Linked DNA regions of Drosophila melanogaster. The protein of the gene in region 1 interacts with the protein of each later gene in a pairwise test. Each region holds a gene or a part of one and is shown on either strand. Other genes may lie near its edges. The genes, in order: Skadu and CG15546.

Region 1 (3,523 bases):
AACAGCTGGCTTGCAACAGGGGCGGCGAAAGGCAAAGCTATGTTTTGCCATCTTAGGTGAAAGGGTTGCAGTGAAAGTGGCGGGTAAAAGGGGTTAGTACGTGCAATGAACGGAATCCGACACACATAAGTTAAACAAATATACTGCGCACCCGCACACACATAAAAATGCAGATGCAGATGCACAGTTGGTCGTCGTAAAGTCTCCATGAGGGGGAAGTGCACCTGCTGCCAAAGACTCCGAACTCATAGCAGAGATGCTGAATCAAATTCTCATATTAAATAATCGAATTCCTCGCATGCACATCATTTTAAATTCACATTCGCACTTTCCTTCAGATCCGCATCTACTGCACATGCATTTCACATTCGCTTCCTCGCTTTTAGAATCGGTTTGCCTTTCTCTTCGAAAATTTCATCCAGCTTTTTGTATCTTGCATCTTTAAGCAATTTTTCTCGCCAACTCGTTTTGCCCGAGATTTTGCGCTTGACATATAATTTTTATAAGGATATTCAGGGGAGTGGACTAATGGGGGCTTAAGGAGAAAAAAAAGGTACAAAAAATAATTATAAATTGCAATTTTCAAAAGAATGTGATAAGTTAAATGATCTTTTTGAATATGAAAATAAAATATATTTCTCAAATTCAAAATTCAAGTTTTACGTTATAAATTAATGAAAGCATAAACAAACCAACAACCCCCATTAAAAAAGAGATCTCTACACCCCTGTTTAAACATTTTCTGTATCCTTTATTTGCGGATGGCAAAAACTTCTGGCACGCACGTCCGCCCCAACTTTTGATGGCTGAGGTGCGAAATTTTGCGAGCTGTACGAGCCAAATAGGCATAAAATTATTTAAAACTCGACGCGAGACTGCAGAAAAGGATGCGTCATAAATGTGAGGCAGTTTCGCACTTCTCATACTTCATTGTGTTTAATTTCTCTCTTCAATTTTAAGGAGATTCATCATACTTCTGTTGTTCCATTTTCTGCCAGGCCTGGACGTATTCCTTGTAGAAATCAGAAAGCAGGTGTGGAACATGCTGTAAGGCCAGTTCCAAAGGAACCAACTCGGGTTCAATGAGATTCGTAAACTTTATGTAGAGGAATTGCTCCTTGTGGATGTTTTGTACCATGTCCAATATCGATTCCACTTGGTAGCCTCGCTCAAAAGCATCGATTGCGGGAACCGGTGGAAGATTGGCTAAATCCGAAGAGAACTTCTTGACGGGTTTCTTTACTGTTTGAACTAGAGTGCTGCGAGGTGATATTGTTGACAAGTTGCATGTCCGTTTATCGGAATGTCTCTAAAAAGTTTATGATTAGTTTTGGCGGATGAATTTTCCTGGAATATTCACTCACATTGTCCTGGAGAAAGGGAACTCTGCGCTTTCGTACGGCTGATTCCATTTGGTCTTATTAAATATATATATTTTCGTGTTGAATTGTTTTTTTTTGTATACACTGAAGTTAAACTCTTTTTACTCCTTCCGAGTGGCACTTCATAGCCGGCTCTTCTCTACAAATTCATATGACTTTCGCTTCTGTTGCCTGTTCTACAAATGAACTTCCTGCGGCCAAAACAACTTCACGGCACTTTGAGCCGGCCCATGGCAACCGGGTAGATGGAGATGGACGGCAGGGGGAAATGCAGTTAAATGAGCGGAAATACGAAATTAACTCGCCACGAAAGCACAGAGCAAACAAAGAAATTGTTGTACAACTAAAAAAAAATATCCCCACACACTCGCAGAGTGAAGAAAAATGAAGAGGAAATAGAGAATGAGAAAATCAAGTGCCGTAGCACAAAAAAAGGGGGTAAAAAACGCAATTGAAAGCAAGCAAAGGGACAGAACAGAAAAAATGTATAATAGCAAAATAAACGTTGCCACTTGGCCAAATTTAATGCAAATATTTGGCCAGCCGCAAACGGAAATGCTGTCTCTCCCGCTGCCGACGAAAAGCCTTCCATGCCTTTCCCTAATGCGATGCGGCTTGGTAAATCGCGGTAAATTAAGAAATTAAAGTATTTGAAATACTGCCCAAAAACAAATTTCCATGCGCGTTGCAAAAAGTACATTTCCGGGTTTCCCCGCCACCTATTTTAGATTATTCTCCACATAGAATTCCGCTGAGCTTGATAAATAGAAGCGAAGCATTCGAGAACCGTGCATGATTTATGTAGATATACATACGCTCTGTTCTATGCCGTTCGCTTGTATATTTCCTTGCTGTGACAACGACGCACTTTTCGGGACTTACGAAATTGTATTTAATTGTTAGGGTTGCCCAAAAGGACAGGGAAGTCCTTTGGTCGGCATATAAAATTAAACAAACATTCTGCCTCGCCATGGAAATGACAATAAAAATAGCATCAAATTTATGGCATACCGAAATAGAGAGGTGGAGGACACGAAAATGGTAAAGGAGGCGAAGGACCTCGTTGAGGGCATTTTATTCTCTTGCATCGTCCTTTTATTTCAACTCCATTTTGTCTGTCATTCACTGAAAACATAACTTCTTATGTTTTCCTTGACAAAATAAATATTAACATATTCAAACAAAATAACAAAACATAAGAAAAAAAGCTACACAACATGAAATTTTTTTTGGTATTGCTATTATAATTGGTTTGAAAAAATATATACATAATTATTGACACTTTAAAATCATATTTTTATTGTTTTATAAAGCTAAGCTTTAAAAAAACCAAACAAAGTAAGAAATATTTTAGAAATATTATTTCTCAATTAAATTTGATGTACTACATATAAGTTCAAATTTATTTTCGGAGACACACAATTTTGCCTGAGTGTCTTTTGGCAAGCGGCGTCTACTGCTTGGCACTGACTTTGCCTTTTTCAGCCGCACTGACTTTGCACAATTAATGGCCACCTTCTGCTGTACCGCTGCCACTCCACCTTTCCCCTCGCCATCCACGCCACTAACCAGGCATTCCCAATTCCGCGCAATTATTGCGGCCATTGTGTGAGAACCTTTTGCCAAGTGTCTTGTGTGTCATCGTCACCGCTAAATTTAACATAATCCTCGGATGCTTCAGACCGAATGCTGCCCACTCCGGCGGCTCCTGTTGGGCGCCAGGAAAATTGTTGGCAGCTGACGCGACTTGGCCAGGATGTTACTCGAGGTCCTTTGTGTTAGCCCTTTTCCGCTGCTGGTGCTCATTCGCCTGCCGCTTTTCTTCCTGCGCATAATTAATTTCACGTTCTTGCCAAAAATTATGCGACAGGATTTGTTTGCCCACGCTCATTTCCCCTCACCGAAAATTCCTTCACTCTGATTTCATCCTACTTTAGTCTTGTTGTATTTGTTTTGCATTTTGGCAGCATTTCGTCAGGCGCCGGACGAACTTAAATCCTTCGGCGGACCGTCAAGTTGGCCAATTGTGCTGCAAAGTCAGCTTAAAATAAAAAGTGTTCTGGAATAGTCAGTGTAAACGGCTAAGCCATTTTAAATGCTGAAAATTCCATTGTCATGTCGAAGAAGTTGAGAGCTGCAAA
Region 2 (3,927 bases), on another chromosome or scaffold:
GCAACAGCAACAGCAGCAGCAGCAACAGACCAGTGCGCCTATGTACAATAACAATAGTAGTAGCAACCACAACGGCAACAACCAAAGCCAAGAAGTAACTACCTATTAAACAGACCAAATGAACTGAAACCACAGCAACACCAACAGCCAACAGCAACATTGAACACCAAAAAAAAAAACTCACCATTTCCGCATTCTGTATTCTGTTACCCTTCCGTTTACCCCTTTTCCCTGCAAATCCAGGTGTCGGTGCCGGTGTCGCACATCATTGCCAATTCGCCGACGGCCGCCACGTATATGCAGGCCCAGCTGAGCGAGCACGCCAGCAACATGCAGCACGGCATGCCCATTGTCACGTACAATGGGAACCAGTACTGCGTGATTACCCGTGCCCCGGATCTGGATGTGGAGGCGATGCAGAAGCCGCTGGACTATGGCCACGCAGCCGGAGGAGCCACCAACATAATAGTAATGTCGCCGATGCAACTGCTGCCCCCCCAGCAGCAGCAGCAGCAGCCGCAACAGCAACAGCAGCAGCAGTAAGCACCATCGAAGAGAAAGGCTAACTGACTGGCCAATCAGCTATAAATACGAATTGTAAATAAAGTCTTAAGCAGCCGAGAGCAACCCTAAGTATATGTTTAACAACACTACCCAGCAAAACTAAAAACTAAAAACAAAGAAAAAAACAAAGTTTGTAAATGTCAGGTTATAAAGCATAGATCCCCGTGTCAGCGATGTCAACTCAAAATCAAACGTAGTCTAAGCAACCTAACATATCCCCCCGCAGAACGTATATGGTACCCATCTACATGAGCAGCCACCACACTGAGATATATAGATATGCCACTTCGCCGTTTCGCAATTTCAGACCCTCCAGAGTAGTATCCCCACATAGACCCGTATGCAAACCGAACGTGTATGATATTGTATGTGTTTCTATGGCATTGTTTGTACATTAAGCTTATTACGTACTCCAAATACGTCTTCGACTAAAACGCAGCCTGGGAGGTAAACCAAATAAAATGAATTAATGGAAGCAAAACATAAGTAGCAGTAGTAGTGTCCATCAGCAAAGCTCCCCACACATCTCCCCACTCCATTCCAATGGCAAACCATGTAAAGATCAAGAGAAAATAAATTTAATTTAATTAAATAAACACTGGTATGTTTTACTGGTGTTTCGCTTTTCCTTTTCAAAGTGCATTGTTCACGACATTGTGTCAGAGTATTGAGCTCCTCTCAACTTTCAGCCATGTAATGTTACGTATACGCAGTGTCGGCCATACTGAGCATCATTCAAGTGACACTCACTTGCGGCCAAAAGTACGTTGAAGTTGAAGCCATTAAAGCACCCAATAATTGGCATCTGTTGTCGTTTATTATTCTTGGTCGGCCAACTTTGGCGGCATTCTGGCTTTTTAGTCCGAACGGACAGGCCAAAAGCGAAGTAAAAACCAAAACATTTGGTCAACGCTGAGCTCACGAAAATCAACTTTTCGTTCCAAAAGTGAAAAATGCCGCGATTTGGTTTGACCTTAGATGGAAACTCGTCTCTGCCGCTGCGCCGTCGACTTCGCTGCCAACGTCCACGCTGCACTGGCAGCAAATAAATTTTTGCCTCGATGCTGTTTGTGTTTGTTGTTAATAAGTCACTCGAAGAATTTGCAAAAGGGTATAATGTATTTTCAAAAATCTTGCGAGAGGCTAAAAACCAAAACCAACAAGTGTGTCATTTTCCAAACTGCCTGCAGTGAATGCAGCGCACTGTTTGCTTTCGAAGAAATCGAATATGGAAATATAATTAAATGCTGTATATTTCCAATTCGTAGAGTATCCAAAAGTTTATAAACACAGAAACTCTCGTTTTTACTCACTTCTCGAGTTATTTTTCGCAAGAATCGCAAATTAGTCTGGGGCCTGGTTGATCACCTGAGCAAACGAAACTGAACGCCTACGACAAATGACAACGCCGATGGCGACGCCAACATCTCAGCCATTTTATGTGCTCTCCGGCCTCCGACGGATTCTTTTTGTGTCAGTCGGTTTGCGGACCAGTCTCCGATCAGTCGAGTGGACCACCAATCCGGCGAAGATTGGGCGACCATGCTGAACGGAAAATTCTACACGGGCTTGCCGCCCAAAATGGTGGAGCGCCAGGCGGTGAAGGTGTGCAATCGCCAGGAGTCGCACTTCTTCTGGCCAGACGATTCCCGAGCGGATTCCGCGGTGGAAACCCGAGCAAAGAGGAGAAACAGCCAGCAGCTGGAGAGGCCTGTGGAAAGGATTACTTCCAATCAGAATGTATCCGACGAAGTGGACACACGGCGAATGTTTCACAAGGAGTTTGCCAGTTCTTCCATACAGTTCTATGATAATCTGCAGTCTAATCCTGGAAATAAACCTTCATTGGCAAGGGGTCTACGCAGAGAAATAACCCCAAAACTAACCGAAGTGAGACCGCAGGAATCGGATAACAAAGCTGAGGACACCAGCAGCCGTCGCCAGCAGGCTTACAGCTCCAAGATCCAGTTCTACGATTATGTAAACGAAGCAGATAACCTAACTCAAAATAACGCCAGGAGACCACAAATGGACTTGAATGACAAGCGCGAAGTGGAACTGAATTCCAAGAACAGTCCCAAGCTGCAGGTCAAAAGAAATGTGCGCAGTTTCAGCGTGGAACTGGAGCCCAAGGTCACCAAGAAACCCCTGAACGACAGTCCCGAGTGGCGGCGGCCACGCCCACTGCCCCTGCCCAAAAGGATACTGAAGCAAACGTCACAGGATCAGGACCCGTACGACCATCTGGAAAGTCGAGTCCGAAGATTGCAACTAACCCGAAGTCCCGGACTGCCCAAAAAGCATGTGACCTACAACGAGGAGGCTGCCGAGTACGCCTACTACGATGATCGGGTGGATCGCGATGATCGGGAGGATCGCGAGGATCGTGAGGAGCCCACCTACGAAACTCGCTACCGTCAGCAGCCAAATATGCCGACAGGAAGTCGCCAGCAGCAGCAGCAGCAGCAACATCAACGCTCTTTTATGGAAACTAGTCGGAGCAAGCCATTAAATAATAATAATAATTATCAGGCCAACGGCAATGGTAGGAAAATCTTTCCAAAAATGCCACAGACCCAATCCGGAGTGGGTAACACACACACTATCGACGAAGATCCCCCCGTGCCCTCTGACCCTCGCAAACACCTGCGCAGCAGCCTCTGCTTCAGCGGCGACGCTTTGATGGTGGGCGGTACGGCGTCGCAGTCGCCGCCCACTGCGCAGGCGCGTCGCAGCTCAGCGGGGCAGAGAGTGAGCGTGGGTCTGCCGGACTGAGGGCTCCAGTTCGCGTGTTCAGTGATTAGTGCAGCTACACAGTGAGAAATGCAAGTGCAAAAACATATAACTGAAGCGATGAAGAAGATCATACAAGAATATCTGCTTGACAATCATTAGGATGAAATAGTATTACAAATATTTCTCTATGTAGTAAGTCGACAGCAACAATCTGCATTGCTAATTGAAAGCCAACAGCGACTGCAACAGAAGCAGCAACAACATCTGCAGCACAACAGCCACATCAGCAGCAAGTTGATGCGACAGCAGCAGCTCAACCTTTTTTTAGTTTTTACTTTTACGATCCCATACAAACTCTGAATTCACCCACATGCGAATGAATGAGTCGGCTTTTTTGTTGTTTTCGAGCGGTTGAATATACATACATAAACAAACCTTGATCTTGACTAATTTGTCGGCGATGCTGTTGTTGTGCACCACGATCATGTATTAATTTAGCTTTTAAAGCCAACGCAGAAAAATCTATAATTATAATGATAGAGATATGCTAATAAACTAATACATATATAACCAAATAAATTTCGAATCGGGAAATATTCAATTAAGCCTTAAAAACCTACTATAGGC

The links.
Region 2: the proteins of Skadu (region 1) and CG15546 interact in a two-hybrid assay, tested with the Drosophila melanogaster proteins (one large-scale study listed by BioGRID).

The regions. Positions count from the first base shown.
Region 1 is NT_033779.5:15,545,454-15,548,976, reverse strand, and holds Skadu (skadu), read right to left. Parts: upstream 1,459-3,523; 5' UTR 1,413-1,458; coding exon 1,365-1,412; intron 1,310-1,364; coding exon 956-1,309; 3' UTR 734-955; downstream 1-733.
Region 2 is NT_033777.3:30,874,314-30,878,240, reverse strand, and holds CG15546 (uncharacterized protein), read left to right. Parts: upstream 1-2,054; 5' UTR 2,055-2,106; coding exon 2,107-3,339; 3' UTR 3,340-3,876; downstream 3,877-3,927.